Linked DNA regions of Pelodiscus sinensis. The protein of the gene in region 3 interacts with the protein of the main gene of each other region in a biochemical or structural test. Links are inferred from orthologs where the notes say so. Each region holds a gene or a part of one and is shown on either strand. Other genes may lie near its edges. The genes, in order: NOXA1, CYBA and NOXO1.

Region 1 (7,791 bases), on a different chromosome or scaffold from region 3:
GGCCAGTTTAGACAGCTAAAAACTGTTTTGCGCAAGAAAGCCCCGATGGTGAAAATGGCGATCGGGGCTTTCTTGCGCAAAACCGTGTCTAGATTGGCACGGATGCTTTTCCGCAAAAAGTGCTTTTGCGGAAAAGCGTCCGTGCCAATCTAGATGCTCTTTTCCACAAGTGCTTTTAACGGAAAAACTTTTCCATTAAAAGCATTTGCGGAAAATCATGCCAGTCTAGACGTAACCGTGGTGTTGAGGAGAGGGTGGATATGGAGTAGAGAATGGAAAGATTCCTCACCATACACAGAAAAGTCAGTGTTCCTGTTTATATTAAACCCACTGCTAGGCCTACTTTCCAAACGAGAAAAGGGAGCCACTGCATAGCTGTGGTAAACTTAGTTCATGGGAGTGGTTGTCAAATCAGAACCCCATCCTGGGCTCTATCTCAGCTCTGGGATCTAGCGGGTTACAGCAGAGGCAGATACATTTGGGTTCCATATAAAGAACATCAGAATGGCCATACTGGGTAAGACCAATTTTCCATCTAACCCAATATCCTTTCTGCCAACAGTGGTCAATGCCAGGTGCTTCAGAAGGCATGAACAAGTCAGGGAATCATCAAATGATCCATCCCCTGTTGCCCATTCCCAGCTTCTGGAAAAAGTAATAGAAACTCGGGACACCATCCCTGCCCATTCTGGCTAGTAGCCATTGAGGGACCTATCTCCTTGAACTTATTTTGTTCTTATTGGAACCCTGTTATAGTTTGATCCTTTTCACTACCTCCCGGCAAACAGTTCCACAGGTTGAGCATGAAGAGAGAACTTGTTTTGCTTGTTTTAAATCTGTTGCCTATAAATTTCACTGGGTGAGTTTCTTGTGTTATGTCAGTGAAGGAATAAATAACATTTCCTTATTCTATGTTTCCACACCATTTATGATTTTCTAGATCTCTAACATATCCCCCGACCCATCAGTCATTTATTTTCAAGCTGAAAAGACCCGGTCTTGTTAATATCTCCTCATAAGGAATTCCATCCTCCTACACATTTTTCTGTCTTAATCTCTACCCCTTTCTTAACAATTCCCAACATTCTGTTAGCTTTTTTGACTGCTTCTGCAAACTGAGTGGATGTTTTCAGAGAACTATCCACAGTGACTCTAAGATCTCTCTCTTAATCGGTAACAGCTAATTTAGACTCCATCATTTTATATGTATAGTTGGGATTACATTTTCCAGTGTGCATTATTTTGCATGGTGAGACTAAAATAGTAATCCAAGTATCAGAGGGTTAGTCATGTTGGTTTGTATATGCAAAAATAATGAGAAGTCCTGTGGCACCTTAAAGAGTAACAGATTCATTTGGGCATAACTTTTCATGGGCAAAAACCCACTTCTTCAGATGCATGGAGTGGAAGTTACATAAATAATGAATAAATAAGTAATATTTATAAATAATGAAAATTTATGTCTGCCTCTGTAATTTCCACACCATGCATCTGAAGAAGTGAGTTTTTGCCCATGAAAGGTTATGCCCAATTAAATCTTTAAAGTGCCAGAGTGACCTAGGAGCACAGACTTGCTACTGGCTTGGTGTTATCTAATTACAGAACATACCACTAGTTTGGGGTGTCTGCACTTTTTTCTGACAGTCTGACCTGGGATTGGCCTCTCAGTTGTAACCCGCCCTGAGCGCTGTGGCAATTATATATATTTACTCTTAAAAGAGCCACTAGCAATTCGTGGGCACACTGGAAAAATTACCAAGATTTTTCCATGTAACAAATCTAAGATTTTTCAGTGATCAAGGTCATTACTGATGGAGGGTAGAGAAGAAACAAAACATAAGAAAAATGGCTTGTTCTCAGACTCTTAAGCAGGAATAGAATTAGATTTGTCAGGTAATCGTAAATTCCTCTGAAATATGTATTGTAAGGTTCATTCAGTAGCAAAGTATCATTTTCTGTTACCATAGCACAGATAGAATGGGTAATATAAATAATAGTAACTGGCGAATCTCCTAGGAAATACTATAATTGCAGATTTTCACGTTCCATTCAGAGTTGACTGTCCCTATTTTTCCCCAGAGAAAAGTAAACACAGAATATAAGATTCCCTTCCAGTATTTTTGACTTGCTTTACTCTCCTTTCATTTACTCACTTGCAAGGCTCCCTCGAGGTTCCCTGTTAAGAGATGCACACAGCCTATGTTGAAATAGATTCTGGAGGATGGCTCTTCAATACTGGAGAAGATTTTCAAGGCAGAGTCCCAGTCCCCCTTATCCGTAGCCAGAGTTCCTTCATGCCAGCCTCTCACTAAGTCTCGATATGCCATTTTGTCTCTGTAGACACAAAGAAACCAGATTCCTCTGAAAAGTCCTTCAGGGTCTGGCTGTCTTGGAAGCTGCCAAAAACCTCACCCAGTTCTTTACTGACAGCCAGGTGCACCTGCCTGGAATTCAGGGCTGACAAGGAAGTCTAGCAGCCTCTAAATCTTATTTTGCTGAAGATTCCCTTTATTACTCAATGGGTTCAGAAACACAACAATTTCAAGGAAATGAGCAAAAGTAGGAGGGGTCAACCTATCTACTGACAGAGAGAGACTGCTTAATCTCTGCTGACAGACAGAGAGTGGCACTTGGGTATAACTGAAAGCAGGCCTGGTCTCAAATCTGTATAAAGCAGTAAAACACAGATTTGTTCATCTGTTGCACTGCACGCTGAATATTTACTGTATGTCACAAAGAAAAGGTGCAATGTATAAAATCAGGTCCGAAGCACGTAGGGCCAGGTGCTCTCTGCGTGTTGTGCGATGAGGTGCTAAACTTTTGGGCAGTCAGAACCCCCATATTAATACAATCCAAAAACGTGAGCGCCAAAGGACGTGACACGGTGCCCAAAGCTTGACACAAAAATACATTTTAATTCCACATTTCCTCTCTCAAAACGCAGCCTTGTGCCGAGGGCTGGAACACGAGGGCTGCTGCGAAAGCCGAGCCAGGGCTTGCCAAGCCAGCGAGGCTGCGAGCGGCCGCAGTCAGCGCCCCACTGCCTGAGACCGGCCGGGACGGCGCCCGCAGCAAACCCGCCGCCTGGCCGCTAGGGGGCGCTGCAGCGGGCGTCACAGGGAACCCGCCGGGCTGCGGGGAAGGGTTTGGGCGCCGCACCGCAGAGCCCGCCTCTGCTTCCGGTTTCCGGCGTGTGTCAGGTGAGTGGCCGGGGCCGGGGCGTCGCCCTCGGGCAGCGGGTCCCAGCGGCCTGGCCCCGGGCCGCGCGATGGGACGGGCCCGCAGCGCCTCAGCGGGGCCGGGGACCGGCTGCCCGACCCTGCACGCGCCCCCAGCGTCTCGCGAGGGGTCACGTGGCGCGTGTCGGGGCGCCGCCCCCCCGAGTGGGGGCCCGAGGCCCGGGGAGACTCCCTGGGTCCCGCGCGCTGAGCCTGGCGGAAGTGCCCCTCCCCCTCCCGGCGTGTCCCGGTCCGGGGGGTGCGGGCTGCGCGGTCCGGCCGGGCTGATGGGCCTTCGTGTGCGAGCCGCTGGCAGCTCGCTGCAGTTCTCAGCGCGGCCGCTGGGTGTCGGGCTGGCGCTGCGGGATGGAACGTGCAGTTGGGTGTTGATGTAGCGTCCCGGCAATGGGGACTTTGACTTGCGATTGGTTCACAAACCTTTGACGTTAACGGGGCTTAACCCCTGACGCTCGCCCCATGACAAACGTTTTGCTGTGGCAAGTGCAAGTGTGAACGCTGTTTTGTCCGCAGGAGCACGCTCCTGGGCTGCGTCTAGACTGGCATGATTTTGTGCATACTGTCTGCCGACAGTGGCCAGCACCGGGTGCCCCGGAGAGGGTGGACCAAAGACAATGATCAAGCGATTTGTCTCCTGCCATCCCTCTCCAGCCTCTGACAGACAGAGGCCAAGGACACCATTGTATCCCCTGGCTAATAGCCTTTTATGGACCTAACCTCCATGAAATTATCTAGCTTCTCTTTAAACTCTCTTATAGTCCTAGCCGTCACAGCCTCCTCTGGCAAGGAGTTCCACAGGTTGACTATCCCTGAGCAGGAACTGAAACTGACCAGTGCCCCTCAATGCTGCAGGACCAACCCGGCAGTACCCCAGCTGGCCTCGATTCAGCTGCCGCTGAAACATCCCTGCTTATCCCTGAGCAGGAGCGTCAAAGTATTTGCACAAGAACCACTGACTTTTCTTGCGCAAATACTCACGGCCAGTCTAGACAGGTGGCAAGATTTTGCCAGCCTAGACGCACCCCTGCAGAAAAAGTGAAAGTCACTCTTGGGAGCTAGAAGTATTTTGCTGGTGAAAGTGTTGACCATGTTCACATGTGCTGACTTCCAGCTACAGGGCTGTGTCAACAGAGCCTTGTTGCTAAAAACTGCATAGTGTAGACAAAGCTGAGGTGTTAAAATGACACCCCTGTAAAAGACAAAAGTTTTGCTGACAAGAAGTATCAGTGTGAACAGCTCTTTGTCAACAGGAGCACTTTTGTTAAGAGTGAAAGTATTTTGTTGGCAAAAGAGCCAACAAATAGCAGCTACATTACAGCCATGATATTAGAAATCAGCAGTGACGCAGCCATGTTGCTAAAAGCTGTGTAGTGTAAACGAAGCCTTCTACAGCATCACAAAATGCTTTTGGGAAAGGAGAAAATGGAGCTTTCTAGTTGTGAGTTTAAAAAAGAAACTGCCTCAGGTGATAGCATTCCAATTACAGTAAAACTCCATTGGTCCGGCATCTGATGGTACGTGCTCTGGGCAGCCGGACCGTTGGAGCTGCTCTGTCCCCGGCTTCCCCGATTCAGCCACTGCTGAAACTGACCAGCGGCTGAATTGGGGAATCTGGGGGCAGAGCAGCTGGAATGCTGCCGGTAGGTCCCGTAGCACTGCCCCTCAGCGCTGCGGGACCAACCCGGCAGTACCCCAGCTGTCCTCGATTCAGCTGCCACTGAAACTGACCAGCGGCTGACTCCAGGAAGCCTGAGGCAGAACTGCTCTGCCCCGGGCTTCCCAGAGTCAGCCACTGGTCAGTTTCAGCAGCAGCCGACTTGGGGACGCCTGGGGCAGAGCAGCTGGGGTGCTGCCGGGTTGGTCCGGTAGTGCCGCCCCTTGGTGCTGTGGGACCAACCTGGCAGCACCCCAGCTGCTCTACCCCAGGCATCCCCAAGAGCAACTGAGGTGCTGCTGGGTTGATCTCGCAGCGCCAAGAGGCGGTGCTACCGGACCAACCCGGCAGCACCCCAGCTGCTCTGCTGCAGGCGTCCTGATTCAGCTGCTGCTGAAACTGACCAGCAGCGGCTGAATTGGGGACTCCTGGGGCAAAGCCGGACTATTGGAAGGGGGGGCTATGAGAGGTCTGGGGTGGCATCCCCCCACACCACCTTAGACCCCTCATAGCCCCCCCTTCCGATAGTCCGGCATATCTGATAATCCGGCATCCCTTGGGTCCTAAAGGTGCTGGATTATTGGAAGTTTACTGTAGTTGAGGCAGAATAAGTAAAATTGCTAACAGGCAGTGCTGTTGGGAATACTTTTGTGCTAATTGCAAGCTGCAGGGTTTAAATGGGAAGAGGCAGGCCTTGTCTACTCTAGCCCTTTTGGTGGTAAGGCTGTCGCAGGTATGAGAAACACACGCCTGACTGACTGAAATTTCACCAACCAAAGTGCTGGCGTGGACAAGTGCTATGTTGGCAAGATATGCTTTTCTGCCAACATAGCTAATGCAACTCTGGGTGGTTTAATTATGCCAACAGAAGAGCTCTCTCCCACTGGCAAAGAGCTGCTCCACGGGTGATGTTACAGCAGTATAGCTGTGGCAGTACAGCTGTGCCACTGTAAGAATTGTAGTGTAGATGTACCTATAGGCGTCCTTTAAGGTAGATGCAAAGAAGCTGTCCCTTTATAGAGCTTTTTTTTTATGAGCTATGTGGAAATTCCTCAGTAACAAACACATCTGCCCCATCTGATCAATGTATAAATTGTGGCCATGATAGTATTCTGTTACTGCTGAATTGTGTATGTAAGTGACTAGTGCAGTGCTTTACATTAATTTTAATGTGCCCTCATATCCAAGACTGGGAATAGCCATTCCCTCAGAGACTTCCATATGCAACAAAGATTTATCAGTCTCTAACAATTAAATTATTTTTTAATGCCATTGGTTCAGAGCTATGATTTTCATTAACAAGACATAGGTTTCAATGACATTTATTAGTAATAGTGCTTTATCCTTTTACATAATACTTCACATCTCAGAATACTTCACAATTTTCCTGCCAAGTACTCTAAACAAACCACTTTTTTACTCAGGGAAAATGACTTACTCATAAGCATACAACAGGTAACAGGACTTCTGATTCCCAATGGTTTTTATAAACATTTATGCCCAGGCAACAAGAAGATACTCCAATGCAAAGTGAAATACATCCCAAAAAATTCAATGTATGCCTGGGTGTAAATCCCTCTGACAATCCTTTGTAAATGGGGAGACAGAATCTGTAGTAACTGTATGCAGAAGTAGTGGCCATTTTTGATTTACCTGTTGCACAGGTAGTTTTATAATCGCTTTTTGTTGTAGTTCTATACATACAGGCTGAGTCTAGATTGGCATGATTTTCCGGAAATGCTTTTAATGGAAAAGTTTTCCGTTAAAAGCATTTTCAGAACAGAGCGTCTAGATTGGCACGGACGCTTTTGCGCAAAAGCACTTTTTGCAGAAAAGCGTCCGTGCCAATCTAGACGCGCTTTTCCGCAAAAAAGCCCCGATCGCCATTTCCGCGATTGGGGCTTTTTTGCGGAAAACAAATCTGAGCTGTCTACACTGGCCCTTTTGTGCAAAAGCTTTGTGCAAAAGGGACTTTTGCCTGAACGGGAGCAGAATAGTATTTCCGCAAAAAGCACTGATTTCTTACAGTAGGAAGTCAGTGCTTTTGCGGAAATTCAAGCGGCCAGTGTAGGCAGCTGGCAAGTTTTTCCGGAAAAGCGGCTGATTTTCTGGAAAAACTGGCCAGTCTAGATACAGCCACAGTAATTAAATAAAGGGTTTTTGTTACAAAAAAATTAATGGCTTTAATCTAAGTCATATTTTGTCTCATTTGACACTGTATCAGACTAACAGTCTGCAGAAAACTCTTAAGTTTAGAGGAGGAAAACTAAACCCCACAAAGTTGCACTTTGAAGCTTTTGCTTGTTTCTGTGCTCCAGAATGTTTTTTTCCGAAGACACTTAACAGTGTTTTAGTCCTTAAGATGAAGTGTGTTAAAGTTGAACTGCAAAGCTGAAATGAGCACAGGTCTTGGAAAAAATATTTTACTCCTATTCCTGAGAGAGTAGGATAGAGGTAGTGTCATCTGCCTCTCCCTTTTTACTTTGTGACTTTTGGGTTCTTTTTGTTACGACATCGTTTCTCAGATCTTTTTACAGTATGTGTAACATAATAATACAGAGTTTATCTGTAGACATCTCTATCACAATTGCACATAGCAGCTTCTCTCCATTATTCCCCCTTTAAAAAGAGGCTGATAGTACATGCCTGCTTCAGGTATGTGATAAGTTTAAGTAATATTTTCTGAAATGTTAGCACATTTTCTGAAATGTTAGCACAAAAATCTAAAATACTACACATATGCTAATAGAGGCCTCATTATCTGTAAAATTGAGTAGTTTAGGGGTTTACGCAATCTTTTTAATTGCTGTTTCATACAAAATTTGAAACCAAACTTTCTTAGGTTTTTTTTTCCATTTAGAAAGAATTGATATCCTGAGTATCAGCTTTAGGACATAAGTA
Region 2 (7,234 bases), on a different chromosome or scaffold from region 3:
CCACTGCACGTTTTGGGGACTTTCTTTAACCCACTAAACGTGGGTAATTTGCACTTGCAGGGATAGTGGCAGGCACACACTAATTAGGCGCCAATCACTAATTAGGCAGCTCCCCAGCTGGCACGGGTAAGGGTTCCAAGTGCTACGACCGCGCCTGCCTCGGGCCACAGGTCGGATGCTACGTGATGGATGGAGGAGCCTTCTCACCAGACAGCCTGGTCCATCCATGCCTTGCGTCTGGCCAAAAGCCGCTGGCGTTGGGACAGGTTCCCAGACCTGCCGGACCCACCCCGATCCAGGCGGGCGATTGCTAACGCTTGGGCACGGGCATAGGACTTGCCAGCAGCTGCGCGTTTTGCTTACAGCGTTGCACATTCCCGTTTATAAACCGGCCATTTGCGGGTTTGCGCTTCCGGCAGGTGCTGGCCTGTTTCTCCCCAGCTCCCTCGCTCTGCGCGCGTCCCCATTGCAGAGCTGGCAGGAGAGCCAGGGTAGGTCCACCCTGCAATGGGGGAGCGTCCCACAGTGGGCGGCGGTGGCTAGCTTAGAGGGAGCCAGCTCAGTGAAAATAGCAGCGTGGCCGCAGCATGAGGGAGGTGCCGCAGAATGTACCGGGGGGGCTAGCGCATGGCACCCCCTTGTTGTTCAGACACACTGCTATGGCCAGACGACACGCCTGCCGTTCCGCCCGCCGCCAATAGCCCAGAGCCATCCAAGCCAGCAGGAGTTTTGCCAACGACTTCAGTAGGCCCCGAATTTCACGCCCAAGGGACAGTATTTCGGGCTACCAGTCTGAACCCTCACTGCCAGCAAGGGGGCCAGGCTGAGGGTGGATTCGGAGACGACCAGCTGTCCATAGGAACTAGGCCGCAATGCAGCGATGGGCCACCCAGGCTAGCGAGCCAGCCGCACAAGCAGCATCCGCCATCTCAGGGCGCTGCAAGATGTTGCACCCAACCCAGTGTCCCGGGCGAGGGCGGTTTTACTCCCTGCGCTGGCGTACCTAAAACGTGTGGGCGGTGCCGACTGAACCGTAGCGGCGCTGTGATTGGACGCAGAGGGAGCGCACAGCCAATCAGCGCACACCTCACTTCACACCTCCTTGCTTTACATGCGCGTCACTTTAGTAATACAGGTGGAACCTCCCTAGTCCCAACCAGAGAATACAGGTGCCGAACCAGAGAGTCTGCCAGGAGGTCAGTATTGTCTGGCAGCATGACCAGCCCTGCCACTGCTTGCTGGGCTCTGAGAAGACACTGAGGGGTAAATCAGAGCTAAATCACAGCACAGCCCAACTTTATGGGACCGCGGGAAACTTGGCCACACCCACGATAAGTGGACAACTAAAGTCATGCCGGACCACGGATGCTGCTGGACCAGAGAGCGCCAGACTAAAGAAGTAGAAAAAAACAACTGTGGATGGAAAACCAGTGGAATCTGGCAACCCTGCGCACAGGCATGGGTAACAAAAGGTCTCACGGGCCACACCTAGAACTCCGGCAGACTCCAGGTTGCCCCCTGTCACCATGTCACCCGGTGGTGACAGTCACCTGACGGTACCAACGCCCAGTCACAAGCAGCAAAAGGCTCCCTTCCTGCCATCTCATTCCTCTCTTCCCGCCAGCCCCGCCCCCGCAACACCCACTGTGTCCTGATTCCAGCGTCGGCGAGTCCCAGCGACACAACCGGCTACAATCGAGAGATTTTCCTCGCTGGATGCCAGCTAAAGCAAAGTTTGCAACCAGGTCATGGCTGGGGCGGGGGAGAGGGACCTGCATGTCACAAATCCATGGGGGATCCTAGCTCCTTCTCTGGAAGAAGAGACGCCTGCACAAACTCTTCCCAGCGGCAGAGCTGTGGGTCAAGCGGAGGCCTGGCTCCCTGTTGCAGAGTCGCTATGTCCCTGGGGGAGGCCGCGTGGACGCTGTCAGCCCTGTGTGCGGATATTTATTTCCCTTCCTGCACGATCCTAGTTGCAAGCGCTTTAGACGGGGGTAACGGCCTTCGCACGGGGGGCGGCACGGTACAAAGCAGCACAGCTCCCTGGTGTGAACAGGGCCCCGTGCACTCCGGTGTCGCTACAGAAGCGAAGCTGGTGGCGCAAGCAGCGAACCCACCCTGCGGTGGGAGTTTTCGTGGCCCTGTTATTACCAGATGCTATCAGGCCAATGGCAGCGCCTCCTTAAGCAAGAGGCCTCAGAGAAAAACAGCCCCGCTGTTTCCTTCCCCATTTCAGTCTTTCACTTCCTCAACCCTGGCCCAACCACTGCCCGAATGGCCAGCGCTGCCCTGCGGCCCCTGCTGCCCAGGCCCCCCGGGCGGGGGGTGGGGAGTCTTCAGCGAGGATCTTGCAATTTGGGACCTGTGAGGGGTGGGCTTTGCTCAGACCCCACGACCCAGAGAGGAGCCTTCCCTTGGCCCCCCAGTGCCAATGATCCTGGGACAGGCAGGCAGCCACTTCCAACCTCCTCTTGAGCCCTGCACCCCCCTCCCCAGCGCCTACCAGGCCAGCCCTCGTCCACCAGCACCCCCCTGCTCCCCCCTCCCCCAGCTCCCCTCCCTCCTCCTCAGCTCCCCTCCCTACCCCCTACCCCTGCTCCCCTCCCTACCCCCAGGTCCCCTTCCTCCTCCTCAGCTCCCCTTTCTACCCCCCTCCCCCAGCTCCCCTTCCTAGCCTCCTGCTCCCCCCTCCTCCTCAGCTCCCCTTCCTACCCCCAGCTCCCCTCCCTCCTCCTCAGCTCCCCTTCCTACCCCCTTGCTCCCCCTCCCCCAGCTCCCCTTCCTACCCCCTGCTCCCCCTCCCCCAGCTCCCCTTCCTATCCTCCTGCTCCCCCCTCCCCCAGCTCCCCTCCCTACCCCCCTTCCTCCTCAGCTCCCCTCCCTACCCTCTCCCCCTGCTCCCCTTCCTTCTTCCCCGCCCCACTCACTGAGCCCGGACGCCAGCGCCTGCTCGTTAGCCCACATGGCCCACTCGATGCGCCCCATGGCTGCGCTCTGGCTGCACCAGCGGCAGCCCGGGGACCCACTGCGCCCCGGCCCGGCCCGGCCCCGCTGCTGGCCCCGCCCTGGGGCAGCGGGCCGCCCAGCGGCGGGCGGGGCTCTCGGGGCCGGGCCGGGGAGCCGCACACGGAACCTCCCTCCCCCGGCGGCAGCGGGCCCGGGGCGCCGCCGGCTCCGCCGCCCGCCCCCTCCCCCTCCCCGCCGGCGGGGGCAGCGCTCAGCCGGCACGCGGGGAAACTGAGGCACGGGAGCGCAGCGGCCTCCGGCTGCCAGCCAGGAGCCGGGGTCAGGGAGGCTCCTTCCTCTGCAGCTGCAGGGCTGGGTCAGGCGGGTGCTTGGCTGGGCTGCTTCTCAGCGGCTTCCCGCCCTGCCGAGGACCCTGCGCAGGGTCAGGCAGGAACACCGTGGGCAGGGGTCAGTGCCAGGCTTATGGTGTCACCCCTCCGCTGTAGGACACTTGTGGGGTGCTGAGCGGAGGGGGGGGGTCCCTTCTGCTACGAAAATGCTAAGCCTGGATGAGCCACGGGGACTCTTGGCATCAGTGGTAGGGCTGGGAACAGGATCCTGGAGTGGCAGGGCCTTGCTCTCAACAAGGTTAAAGCTGGGGAAACTGAGGCACCGAGCCATCAGGACCTGTCCCCAGTCGCACAGCATGGCAGGGGCAGAGCGGGGGTGGTGGGTAGCATAGGCAAGGGAAGGCAAACGGACTATGCTCCCCACTGGGGCCAAGCCTGGCAACCCCAGTCCTCTGGCTGGCCAGGAACGATCCCGCTCAGCCGTGCGGTTGGGCTGGGCTGCACGGAGCGGTGGGGGGAGGAAGGCTGCTGAAAGGGCAGGGACTTGCCTTCCCGAGCTGGGCCTTCGCCCGCCACCCCTGCTAAGGCAGGGCTACCAAAGAGGGTGGAGAACAAGAGGACGGCGGCCGTGTGCCAGCAGCAGAGCCCGGCCCTGTGGGGGCAGCAGGCTCCCCGGCCCAACCTGGCCTGAAATGCTTTCCCCCTGCCTGGGGCTTGGCAACCGCAGCTGAAGGGGTGACAGCTGCCATCAGTTGGTGAGGAAATCAATCAGTTTCCTCACCTCACCGCTGTGGGTTCTTGGCCTGCAGCAGGCTGCACCCATCTCCCCTCCCCCTAGGGCCCAGTGCACCCTTTGCCTTATCCCCCAAACAGCTTCCTGCCTCCTCCCTTCCGAGCTCCCCCACTTTCCTCCTGGTCCAGCAAGCTCTCCCCCACCTAGGCCTGCAAACCGGGGCCCACCCCTTAGCTCAGCGGCCACCAACCAGTACAGCGGGACCTACTGATGGAGCTTGGCGCCTCTGACAGGTTTGGCCAAGAGATTGTCGAGCTCAGCACTTCAGCTCCCTCCCCCGCCACCCCCAAGCCTGTGGCACAGCTGCTCTTTGCTTTGCAGCTTCCTACCTGCACCCCCGAGAGCCTCCTGCTTTCTATGCAGGGCAGCGGAGGGAGAAGAGGGGTGCTGATGTCAAGTTGCCCCCTCTCCGACCCTGTATCCTGTCTCCACAGAGCAGAGAGGGGCACTACAGGGTTTGGGATGGAGGGAGTTTGCTGGCTACCTTTGGGAGGGGTGCAGGGCCAGGGCAGGGATGACCCTGCCTTAGCCCCACTGCACCACTGCCCAGGAGCCACCTGTGGTAAGCCCACACCCTGAAACTCTACTCCAGTCATGAACCCCCTCCTGCACCCTAAGCTCCTGCCCTGGCCCGGAGCACCCTTGCACGCCCAGAGCCTGCCCCTAGAACCCCCTTCGGCACCCTAATTGCCTGCCCCAGCCTGATGAAAGTGAAGGGGGGGGGGGGATGGAGTAGGGGCGGGGCTTCAGAGAAGGGGCATAAAGGAGGCGGGGCCAGAGTGGTTGGTAGACCTTGAGTTGCACTTACATTTCATAAGTGATCTCTTGCTTTAAGAGGTTGGAGACCCCTGCCTTAGGCTTTTCCTCCAACCCAAGAGGGGGCTGGACCCCCATCTCACACCTTACCCCCATGGCTCCCCATCCCTCCTGAACGGGCAGCACTATTGCCATAGTAACCTTCCCTCTGGCACTTCCCCCAGACTGGGGCTTTCAGGATCAAACCAGGCCCTAGTGGGAACAGCTGGGTGGGAAGGGACTGCAGCAGCCAAGACATTAAATGAGCTCTAGGCTTAAAAAAATACTCAGCCAACCAGGCAGCCTGTAGCCACACTCACCCTGAGTAAGCAAGCACTGGCAACAGCCCAGCTACCACCAGTGTGTCCCACCAGAGAGAAGCTGCTATTCAGGTGCAAGTAACTGCAGGATGGTTGGGTGGGACATCAGGAAAAGATGCTGCATAAAGCCACTCGCACTGCTGGATACTACAGGCCTTCCATTTCACATGCACTAGGGGCTGGATTTGCACTAGCGATCACACCTCTGAAATGCAGCTGCCTCTGGGGCGGAACACTGCAGCTGTTGCACAGCACCACCCTTCCAATAGGAAGAGGGAGGTACTTTAATTGGGGAAGTGACAAATCACTCCGCACCATGGAGCTGCATATGGGAATGGGAGGTAGGCAAAGAATATCTGGAATTTGCCGAACACCTGGGGGCTTGACTCCTGATGTTTGCTGAAGTAACTCCCCAGTCCTATGTGCATGGTTAGTGCCGGTCATGGGATGCAGGAATTTCACCTGCCTCATTCCAGCCTCTTCAGGAACGACACCCTCTTCCCAGCCCCTACCTGTGGGGGTTGTGCGGCCCTGTAGCAAATCAGAGGGAAGTAGGGCAGGATGTAATGTCACAAACGACCAGACGCGTGTCGGTCCAGAGAGTTCCATTCATGGGCATTTACACTTCAAACCAATCAGGAAGCTGGGCTTTTCAAACAGACTGCTAGTGCTGGATTTTTAAAAACCAGAGTAGCAGGGGGGAGGAGAGAAGAGACAGGAATGCAGCGCCAGCTGGGTAAGGGACAGGTAAGAAAGAGCCTTTCATCTCTAGGTCAGCCCACATCAGGCCACCCCAGGCAAGCCAAGGGCCGCCAGCATCATGGAGCTGTTCCCAGCCAATGCTGGCGAGTCGCAGTCCTCTTCCTAGCAGAGACGTCGCCTCATAGCGCCTGCCCTCCTCGGTTGGCAGACCAGAGCCGGGAGAGGCCCTGGCCCGTGGGCAAAGGCACTGTGGGTAGCGCTGGAGGCTGGCACTGGCCCAGCTGCATACATTCTGCGAGGGGGCTTTGGTCAGCCCATTACTCTTCCCCCACAATCCCCAACTCCCCATGGCCAAGCCCCGAACGCCTCTCGTGCGTGCCAGCCACGGAACCAGCGTAGCCCCGGCCCAGGTTCCCCGCTCCCAGAAGCGTCTCGTTCCACGTCTGCCGGGCGGCTGCTCAGGCACTGGGACGGGGAAGCCCATCCGCTCCCAGCAGATGCAGGCCGGGATCATCCAGCAGCTGAGGACCTGGGCCTGGCTGTGGAGGAATAAAGCCAGTTAGAGGGAAGAGGGCTGTTAGGACCCCAGCGCTAGTGCTGTGAGTACAGCAGAGGCTGCAGCCAGCACTAAACAGCTGACCAAGTGCCTTGTGCATGGGGAAATTGAGACACCCTCTGAGCATCCTGCTGTCCAAGGGAGGGCAGGTCAAGGGTCTGCCCCTGGGCACCAGCCTGCCCCTGCTCCCCAGCCCTCCTCTCTGGCTGTAACCCCGGGGTGCCCAGGGACAGCTTGCATCACACAAGCTTGGAAGCACTGCGAAGAGAGGAAAGTGATGAGGAACAGGCAAGAGGTGGCTGGAAAGCTGGCAAGCTTGTCGGACCCAGCGGGTAATGACCAATGGCTCGATGTCAGATTGGCGGTCGGTTTCTAGCGGAGTGCCCCAAGGATCTGTTCTAGGTCTGCTTTTGTTCAACATCTGCATTAATGACCTGGAGGAGGGGATGCATTGCACCCTCAGCATGTTTGCAGGTGATACTAAGCTGGGGGAGAGGTAGAGACACTGGAGGGCAGAGATGAGGGCCACAGTGTCCTACACACATTGGAGGCTTAGGCCAAAAGAAATCTGATGAGGTTGAACAAGGACAAGTGTAGAGTCCTGCACTTGGGACGGAAGAATCCCAAGCCTTGTTACAGGCTGGGGACCGACTGGCTAAGTAGCAGTTCAGCCGAAAAGGACCTGGGGTTACAGTGGATGAGAAGCTGGAGATGAGTCAACAGGGCGCCCTTGTAGCCAAGAAGGCTAATGGCATATTGGGGTGCATTAGTA
Region 3 (7,535 bases):
ATTTATCAAAGATTGAGCCCTATAGTGAAGTTGCCTAATGCCTGCCATTGTGAATGGGGGTGAGTTGGGGGTCAGGATTCCTGAGCCCCCAGCTCACGGACCTGCAAGGTTAGGAATAGAAACCTGGAATCCTGAGACTCACACTTCTTGCTCCACCAGCTGGAAAACCCTATTGCCCTGGTTCTTTTCTTCTGGAGAAAATATTTAGAACCCTAAACAAGGTAAGTTATAGCATTCAGTGTATGTGTGTACACACACACACACACACACACACACACACACACACACCCCACCAGTCTAAAACTCACTCCAATTCATACTCCGAACAAGAAAATGACCTGTCCACACAAGATCTACCTGTCACATCCTTGATTAACACTTCGACAACCTCCTCCTTGACAACGCTGAAGGGTCTGTTCTTGGTGTCTTTGGTTTCGTAGTCTTCAATGCAGCGGTAGCTTTGGGAGACCACTGGCTGAGTAATAGAGGGGGTCTGCTGCTTGGGCTGTTCTTTCTTTCCATCGCCCAGTTCTGACGGCATAATTATAATGCTGGAAAGTAAAGTTTGATATGGGTCTGTTCTGAAGCCGGGGGGCAGCCTGTATTTAGGATTCATCTGGGGAATAGGCGGTGGGGGAAATTCGCCCCTATGCAGAAGATCAGGACAAGGGGCAGGCATCATTTAAGTCTATAACATCTCAAAGCACTTAGCAAACATTCCCAACCATCGCTCTCCTCTCCAAAAAAAGTGGTTTTTATGGCACTTCATGGGTGGGATACAGGGGCACAGAGTTAGAGAGATTTGCTCAGTCACCCAGTGAAAAAGTGGCAAGAGTTGGAAATAAATCTCAGAAGTCCCTGGCTCCTTCCCTTCCCACTTAGCCCACGCTCTCAGCAAGATCTGCATTTCCACTTTGCAGGGTTTTGCAATGACCCTGCTGAATGGTAAGAATCGGAGAGGGCTACACACTGGTAGTTGGTATTAAATCATTAAACCCCTGACATTTGCTTTGCCTCCAAGCGGGCTTTCATGTAAAATAAAAACGGCCTCGTTTTTAGAATGGCCATAATTATTGTTTTGCTGTTTGCCAACTGACCCCCCCCCCACCCATCCTTTTACACAAGCCAGTCCTTAAGGTTTGAAAAGCAGTTGCTTGTACAGAATGAACAGGCAGGGAAGCAGCTAGTGTGTTGCTGATAGACGTTATTCCCAAGGAAACTACTCGCCCATTTCTAATTTCTGCTCTGTTGCACCCATGGTCTGAGTGAAACCAACAACAGCAAGAAAATGCAAGGTGTCCTGCAAAAGTGAGTGAGAGAATGGGGGGGGGGGAGAGAGAGAAAGGGATTGAGACACAAGGAGAACAGGAGGAAGAGCTAGGGGAAGCTTATCAGTGTTTTTATCATTCTTTGGCACTTCAGTCCTGCATTTCTAATTCGTTCAGGGTAGGTAACAAAATGGAAAACATTTTCCAGGAAAAAAAATCCTCCATATTTTAATATTGAAATTTCCCTCCCCCTGTTTCTGAAGCAGAAATGTGTGAAGCCAGGAAAATGCAGTTAGTCTGTACCTGTTTTCTGAAAAAGAAGGGTCTAAGTCTTGGGTTTGCGCTTTGAAAAACTGGATCACATCTTCGCCCTGCGAGATTTTTGCATCTGTTTTCAGCAGTTCCTGGGAGTAAGTCTCCAGCAGTTTCAATCTCTCCAGCGACCTGCTCGAATTCCTGTTCTTTCTCTGCATCAGTTTTGCATCTTTGATGTGACAGAAGCAAACCACCATTAGCAAAATACTGATTATAACGTGGTGCTGCCTGGTACACATTACCTTCTGTCTACACATCTCTGACTCCCACCTGAGTACTTCACATATAGAACTAGGATCAACGGCTACATATTTCTGTGTCTCATCATTTTCTATGCCTTGTGCTATTTTGTCGCAAGCCTAACTTTTGCCTTTGATCGTATATGGAAGCTGCACTGTATCGTGTTGCAAAGAGCTTGGATCAGTATTTGAACTGGAAACAAACCCACGGCCTTCCTTTTTTAACCCAACACTAGATACGTCTACACAGCAGTGTTATTTTGGAGTAACACAGTCAGCGTTTACACTACAAGCCGTTATTTTGACACTGTCGAAATAACCGCGAGCTGGAGGATTACTTACTCTGACTCCTGTAACCCTCATGGTATGAGGAGTCAGGGAAGTCAGAGGAGGAGTGCTCTTTCTCCGACTTCCTGCTGTGTAGCCAGCGCCACAAGCCGAAATAAGCTAGTTCAACTTAAGCTACGCAATTGACGCTGCTGAAGTTATGTCGTTGATTTCAGCTTTTGCCCCGCTGTGTAGATGTGCCCTGGTGTAAATCAGGACCAGTGACAGACCTCTACTCTTCTTTCCTTGACAGTTGCCTTCCCTCTAGTCCCTCCAGTCATTTTTGTTGGTCTGCGCTGCCTCTCTCCCATTTGTTAAATCCCCTTGCTTACCTTTAAACTTTGGAATGCTCCGATCAGATTTCTTCAGTAAGCCGCCTTCGATGGGGAATTTTCTCTTCAGTACTTTCTGAGTGACCAAAAGAGCAGGAAAGGAGAGGAAAAGAATGAGTATGGTGTTCCCACCTCCTAGTAACGGCAGCAACAAATTAACACCGGTTTGGAAAGCATCTCCGGGGAGCTGGTAACTTACATGGAATTTCTTAAACTCTTCAAAAGTCCTGTAGATGAGAACGTTGTTTCGATCGGACCAGGACACGGCCATCATGTACTTCTGAAAGAGAGGAAGATAAAGTTAGAGTCTTCCTGTCCCAGCTGATAACTTTGTGATCGCAACTTTGTTGTGGGCAAGCCGAAGTGCAAACCAAATGAAAAAGCTCTGAAGTTTCCTAATTTGCAGCGGTGGATATATGCACGGGAAAGAGACGCGGGTCAAAGTACCTTCTTTTTTTTGCACTGCATCAAGCCAACAGCTTTCACGTCAACAGGGTACCGGCTGCAGCTCATCTCTCCTGCAGGCTGACACTGTCTCCCTGCACGCTGGCTCCAACCTGTAGTCTGCTACGGCACCTGCCTTCCACAGACTAAATATTCAGGAGCAGGAGGGAGGGGCCCAGGCTGCTCCAGCCAGTCAGACTTAACTAAACAACCCATTTTTTGTTTCCTGCTCCACCCAGAAATGTACGAGGTCCAGAAATTCCAAGATCTGCCAATTCTGACATGCCTCTCGACTGACGGCATCGAGGGGCTCTCCCATGAGAAGCCAGGACAAGGGGCTGCTGAGATTGGCACGTGGAGTCGCTCACGGTGGGGAAAGGTTCCGCAACATTGCCTAGCTCATTGCGGACTGACAGAGAGCAAGGCAGCCCTTGGGGTGAGCTGGACGTCGTATACCTGGGCGACAAGTCCAGGGCTTCTTTGGGACACAGACCAGACTGACTGGAGAATTCGAACAGGTGGCCAAGGGAAAGTGGCCCTGGGAAGGCAGAAGTGCAACTGGTACTTGCTCCCTGCATGGGGGGCACATGGTGCCCGGGGACACACATCTGGGGCATTTAGACACAGAGGGCTGGAGGGGGTTATTGCCAGGCCTGGGTATAATTTGCAGGGTGGTAGCTGTGTCAGTGCTGGGGTGAGGGAATATCAGCTATAGACCAACTTCTGTGGATGGAAGAGAGAAACTTTTGAGGTGCTGCCTGGAGATCATATCTCTTTCACCCCCAGAAATTGGTCCAGTGACTGATATTACCTCACCCACCTTTCTTGGATGGTGATAGGCCAGAGGCTGGGCAGCCTTCCTACACACACACCAGTGTCTCAGGCTTGACCTAGGGAGAGGGGCCGGCAGAGGCTCCACACCTGGCCCGTTACAGGAGCTGCCTGTGTAGCCCGCGCCCCCACTGAGTGTGGTTCCCCATCCCAGGCAGCGGCGCCGAGAGCACGTACACAGAGAGAGAAGGAGTCTGCTCTACAGCCTGAGCTCAGCGCCAGCTTTCAGCTCAAGTGGTAGCGGCTCAGGCACTAAGTTCCGGAGGGCCCAGGTTCGGTTCCGCCTGTCGGCGCTGTGCCTGCAGTCACGCCATCTCGCGCGGTACTCTGCTCCCAGATCCCTTACACTCACCAGGGCCGAGGAAACCCCGGGCCCGCCAGGAACTAGCCCTGGAGTTTCAGCAGGTGGGGTTCTTCCCTTGGCCGGTGTTGAACCAAAGCCCTCGTCACCTTCGGGCTGAGCAAGGCCTAATACTGAGGGCCTGACTACAGAGCCCAGGAGGTACTTTCTAACCAGGAAAGATGTTCACGCCTGGCCAGAGCCCAACGGGGCCGAGTCTGGTTCCCTGGCATTTGCAGCTGACTTGGTGGTTCACCTTCTGCCTAAGCTACGCTTGGTGTCAGGGCAGTGGCTGACCTCAGGTTCCCAAAGGAGGGAGCTGAGGGTGATACATGGCGGTTCTCCACAAGGAAGTGCCCATGGCTGCCGGGCTAACAATGGAAGAAGGGCAAGACCCCACGCAGGGCCAGGAACAGGCGCGAGGCCAAACACCCGAAGGAGCACAGCGGAGAGCCCAGAGCGGGGCCAGGAACAGGCAAGAGGTCGAACACCCAAAGGAGGGCAGCGGAGAGCCCAGAGCGGGGCCAGGAACACCTGGAGGGCAGCGGAGAGCCCCGAGCCGGGCCAGGAACAGGCGAGAGGTTGAACACCCAAAGGAGGGCAGCGGAGAGCCCCGAGCGGGGCCAGGAACAGGTGAGAGGTCGAACACCCAAAGGAGGGCAGCGGAGAGCCCAGAGCGGGGCCAGGAACAGGTGAGAGGTTGAACACCCAAAGGAGGGCAGCGGAGAGCCCAGAGCGGGGCCAGGAACAGGTGAGAGGTTGAACACCCAAAGGAGGGCAGCGGAGAGCCCAGAGCGGGGCCAGGAACAGGTGAGAGGTCGAACACCCAAAGGAGGGCAGTGGAGAGCCCAGAGCGGGGCCAGGAACACCCGGAGGGCAGCGGAGAGCCCAGAGCAGGGCCAGGAACAGGCGAGAGGTTGAACACCCAAAGGAGGGCAGCGGAGAGCCCCGAGCGGGGCCAGGCACACGGCTAGCCCCAGGAGGGTGACTGTCACTTCCCGGTGGTTCGTGAGGTAATCGCCCATTCGGCAAGCCGTGACCAGACACCAGAGCGCCAGCGGCCACCCACAGGAGAGAAGTGACACGCAGCCTCCGCCACCCTGGGCCCGTACAGAGCTGGTGAGTCAGAGGTAAAATGCCCCATAACTCACCCCTGCTCCCTCAGGCACCCACCGCCCTGCAGGGGAGGGGCTTCTGGGGGGACTCGGTGTTGTCTGAGGCACCTGAAGGGCAGAGCAGGGCAACAGGAATCCGAGCAGCAGAGCGGTTATTACAAGAGGTGACCTATGTCCCCGCCGCCTCTGCAGCCCCGAGGTAGTTACAGCTCCGAAGCCTGGCCTTGCAGGATTTACTGAGCCCTAACCTGCCTCGGGCTCGGAGCTGGCTGAGTGCTTGGCCCGGGCTCACACCTCTTTCCCGATCCAACGTCAGGCACACAGAGTTTGGCTGGTTCTGCACACCAGAGTGAACGCCGGAGGCGGACGCGCTTCCCCGCCCTCCTCCCGTGTTATGCCCCAGGCCTGTGGAATTTCCTAAACCCAGCCACGAGACGGTGGATTTTCCTCTGTGCAAAGATCCCCCTTGCTCCTGCTCCCACGGGAGGCCAGGCTCTCAGTGTAGCCCCGGGGAGCAGAACAGGGATGGCTGGAGAAAGAGAGAACAGGTGGAATTGCCGGGACTGACGTGGTTCGGCCAAGTCCCCCTCCACCCAGTGGAGACCCAGTGGAATAGGGCGGCCATTGAGGTACCTCGATAATACAGGACAGTTGCATTTTGTGCAGAAGAGCCCAGGGCAGGGAGTTGTGGGGGTTCAGGAGTCAGGGCGGGGCAAAGGGGCATTTTGAGAGGGCGAGGGGGGGGAACTGCAGCCGCCCACACCAGGTCGCTGCTGCTCTTCTTCCTCTGGCTCTCAGGGAGGGAGGGGAAAGTGCACAGCCTGCTGCATGCTCCTCTGGCCTCCCCTCGGCAGCTGGGAGAGGCAGGCCCAAGCTGAACACTGCCCCATGCTCCCTGAGAGTCGGGAAGAGGACGAACCGCTGCAGCCCCCCGCCCTCCCGGGGAGGGAGGCAAGGAGCACTCCCGGACAGGGGAGCACACCCCCAGCCAGCCCCTTTCACCTGCCTGGCTACCTGCTGCTTAGCAAGGCACCTGCAGGAAAGACCTGGGAGCCCGGCTGGGAGTAGCTGCTGCCGAGCGCCCGGGCAGCTTGCTTCTTCTTGCCGGAGCTCCGCACAGGGGCACACGAGCTTCCTTTCCACCTCTGCTCTCAAGAGCGACACGGAGGCCATAAAGGCGCCCTCTTCCGTCTTAATGGAGGGCAGAGTAGCAAACCCAGCACTGCCCCCTATAAAAGAGGACGGACGGCACCTCCCAGTGAGGTCCGGTGCAGAGCTGGCGGGACGGGCAGGCCGCAACTGGCAGCACTCCCTCACGGGGTGACCCGTGGCCACGCCCAGAGGGCTCCGGCTTGGGCAGGCGGGCCAGGCTATGTCACCTCCCACCCGCTAGCTCGCCATGCTCCCCTGGGGGTGCCGGAATGATGCCTATGGAGCCGCTTTTCCCCCTCGGCTCACTCCCTTCCTCTGCAGAGAGCCCCCGGCATCATCTCTCCTCCAGGGCTGCGTGCCTGGACCGGCCCTGTGGTTTTCCTGGAAGCAGAGACACATCCTCATAGCTGAGACTGGCCAGGAGCGGCTCCCTCATTCCCTCAGGCTGTTCTGGGCCTGGTCTGGGTGTGCAGACGGCGGGAGGGGAGGGAGGACAGAGCGTGGGGCTTGGCTCCGGCCCCTCTCTGCCTCCCTGCTGCACAGAGCCAGCAGCCTGCCCTGCAAAGGGGGTAGTGCCCGCAGCTGCCCGGGCTGGCATGGCATCTGAGAGCTCAGGCTGCCGGCCCAGAAACCCGAGGGTCATTCTAGGGGCTGCCGCAGGCTGCCATGGCTGAGGAGTTGGCACAAGGAACAGTGACGTGCCAGGCCCGAGGGAGCTCTGGGCAGGACCAGCGACTCCAGGAGAGGAACAAGGGGAGAGGGGGAGTCTGGCCAGAGAACACTGTATCCCTTTCCTCGCCGTGCTCTTCCCATTGGTCCTCCACTGCCCCAGTCCGGGCCTGGCCCATCCTCCCCAGACACCTCGAGGTATCAGCTCCCACAGAGTCTAACAATGAGAGAGCCCTGGGAGGCCATTGTGCCCAGACAACGGGAGAGGAGGGCAGCGGAGGGGTGGCAATGAAGCGGCCACCCCTTTGTGGGGAAAGCATGCTCCACACCCCATTGATCTTGCTGCTAGCAGCATTCCCTTTGCACATTTTCAGCCCCCTACCCAGCCTCGGGAAGCCACTTGTCCCCCCGACCACGCCAGGGCGTCCCGAGCCTGCCGATGTGAGGGACTCTCGCCCTTTTCAATCAGCTGCACTTTTGTGCATTGCCATCATGCCTTGAGG

The links.
Region 1: the proteins of NOXO1 (region 3) and NOXA1 form a complex in vitro, tested with the Homo sapiens proteins (2 studies listed by IntAct). The link is inferred for Pelodiscus sinensis from reciprocal best matches to the Homo sapiens genes NOXO1 and NOXA1.
Region 2: the proteins of NOXO1 (region 3) and CYBA form a complex in vitro, tested with the Homo sapiens proteins (3 studies listed by IntAct). The link is inferred for Pelodiscus sinensis from reciprocal best matches to the Homo sapiens genes NOXO1 and CYBA.

What each region holds. Positions count from the first base shown.
Region 1 is NC_134732.1:857,886-865,676, reverse strand, and holds the start of NOXA1 (NADPH oxidase activator 1), read right to left. Parts: upstream 3,013-7,791; 5' UTR 2,328-3,012; coding exon 2,154-2,327; intron 1-2,153.
Region 2 is NC_134722.1:3,824,778-3,832,011, reverse strand, and holds the start of CYBA (cytochrome b-245 light chain), read right to left. Parts: upstream 3,089-7,234; 5' UTR 2,986-3,088; coding exon 2,928-2,985; intron 1-2,927. Other genes in the region: MVD (diphosphomevalonate decarboxylase), read right to left, coding at 6,365-6,445. UniProt on the Homo sapiens protein: Subunit of NADPH oxidase complexes that is required for the NADPH oxidase activity that generates, in various cell types, superoxide from molecular oxygen utilizing NADPH as an electron donor.
Region 3 is NC_134726.1:37,631,101-37,638,635, forward strand, and holds the start of NOXO1 (NADPH oxidase organizer 1), read right to left. Parts: upstream 3,065-7,535; 5' UTR 2,995-3,064; coding exon 2,929-2,994; intron 2,762-2,928; coding exon 2,681-2,761; intron 2,558-2,680; coding exon 2,482-2,557; intron 1,753-2,481; coding exon 1,572-1,752; intron 552-1,571; coding exon 358-551; intron 1-357. UniProt on the Homo sapiens protein: Constitutively potentiates the superoxide-generating activity of NOX1 and NOX3 and is required for the biogenesis of otoconia/otolith, which are crystalline structures of the inner ear involved in the perception of gravity.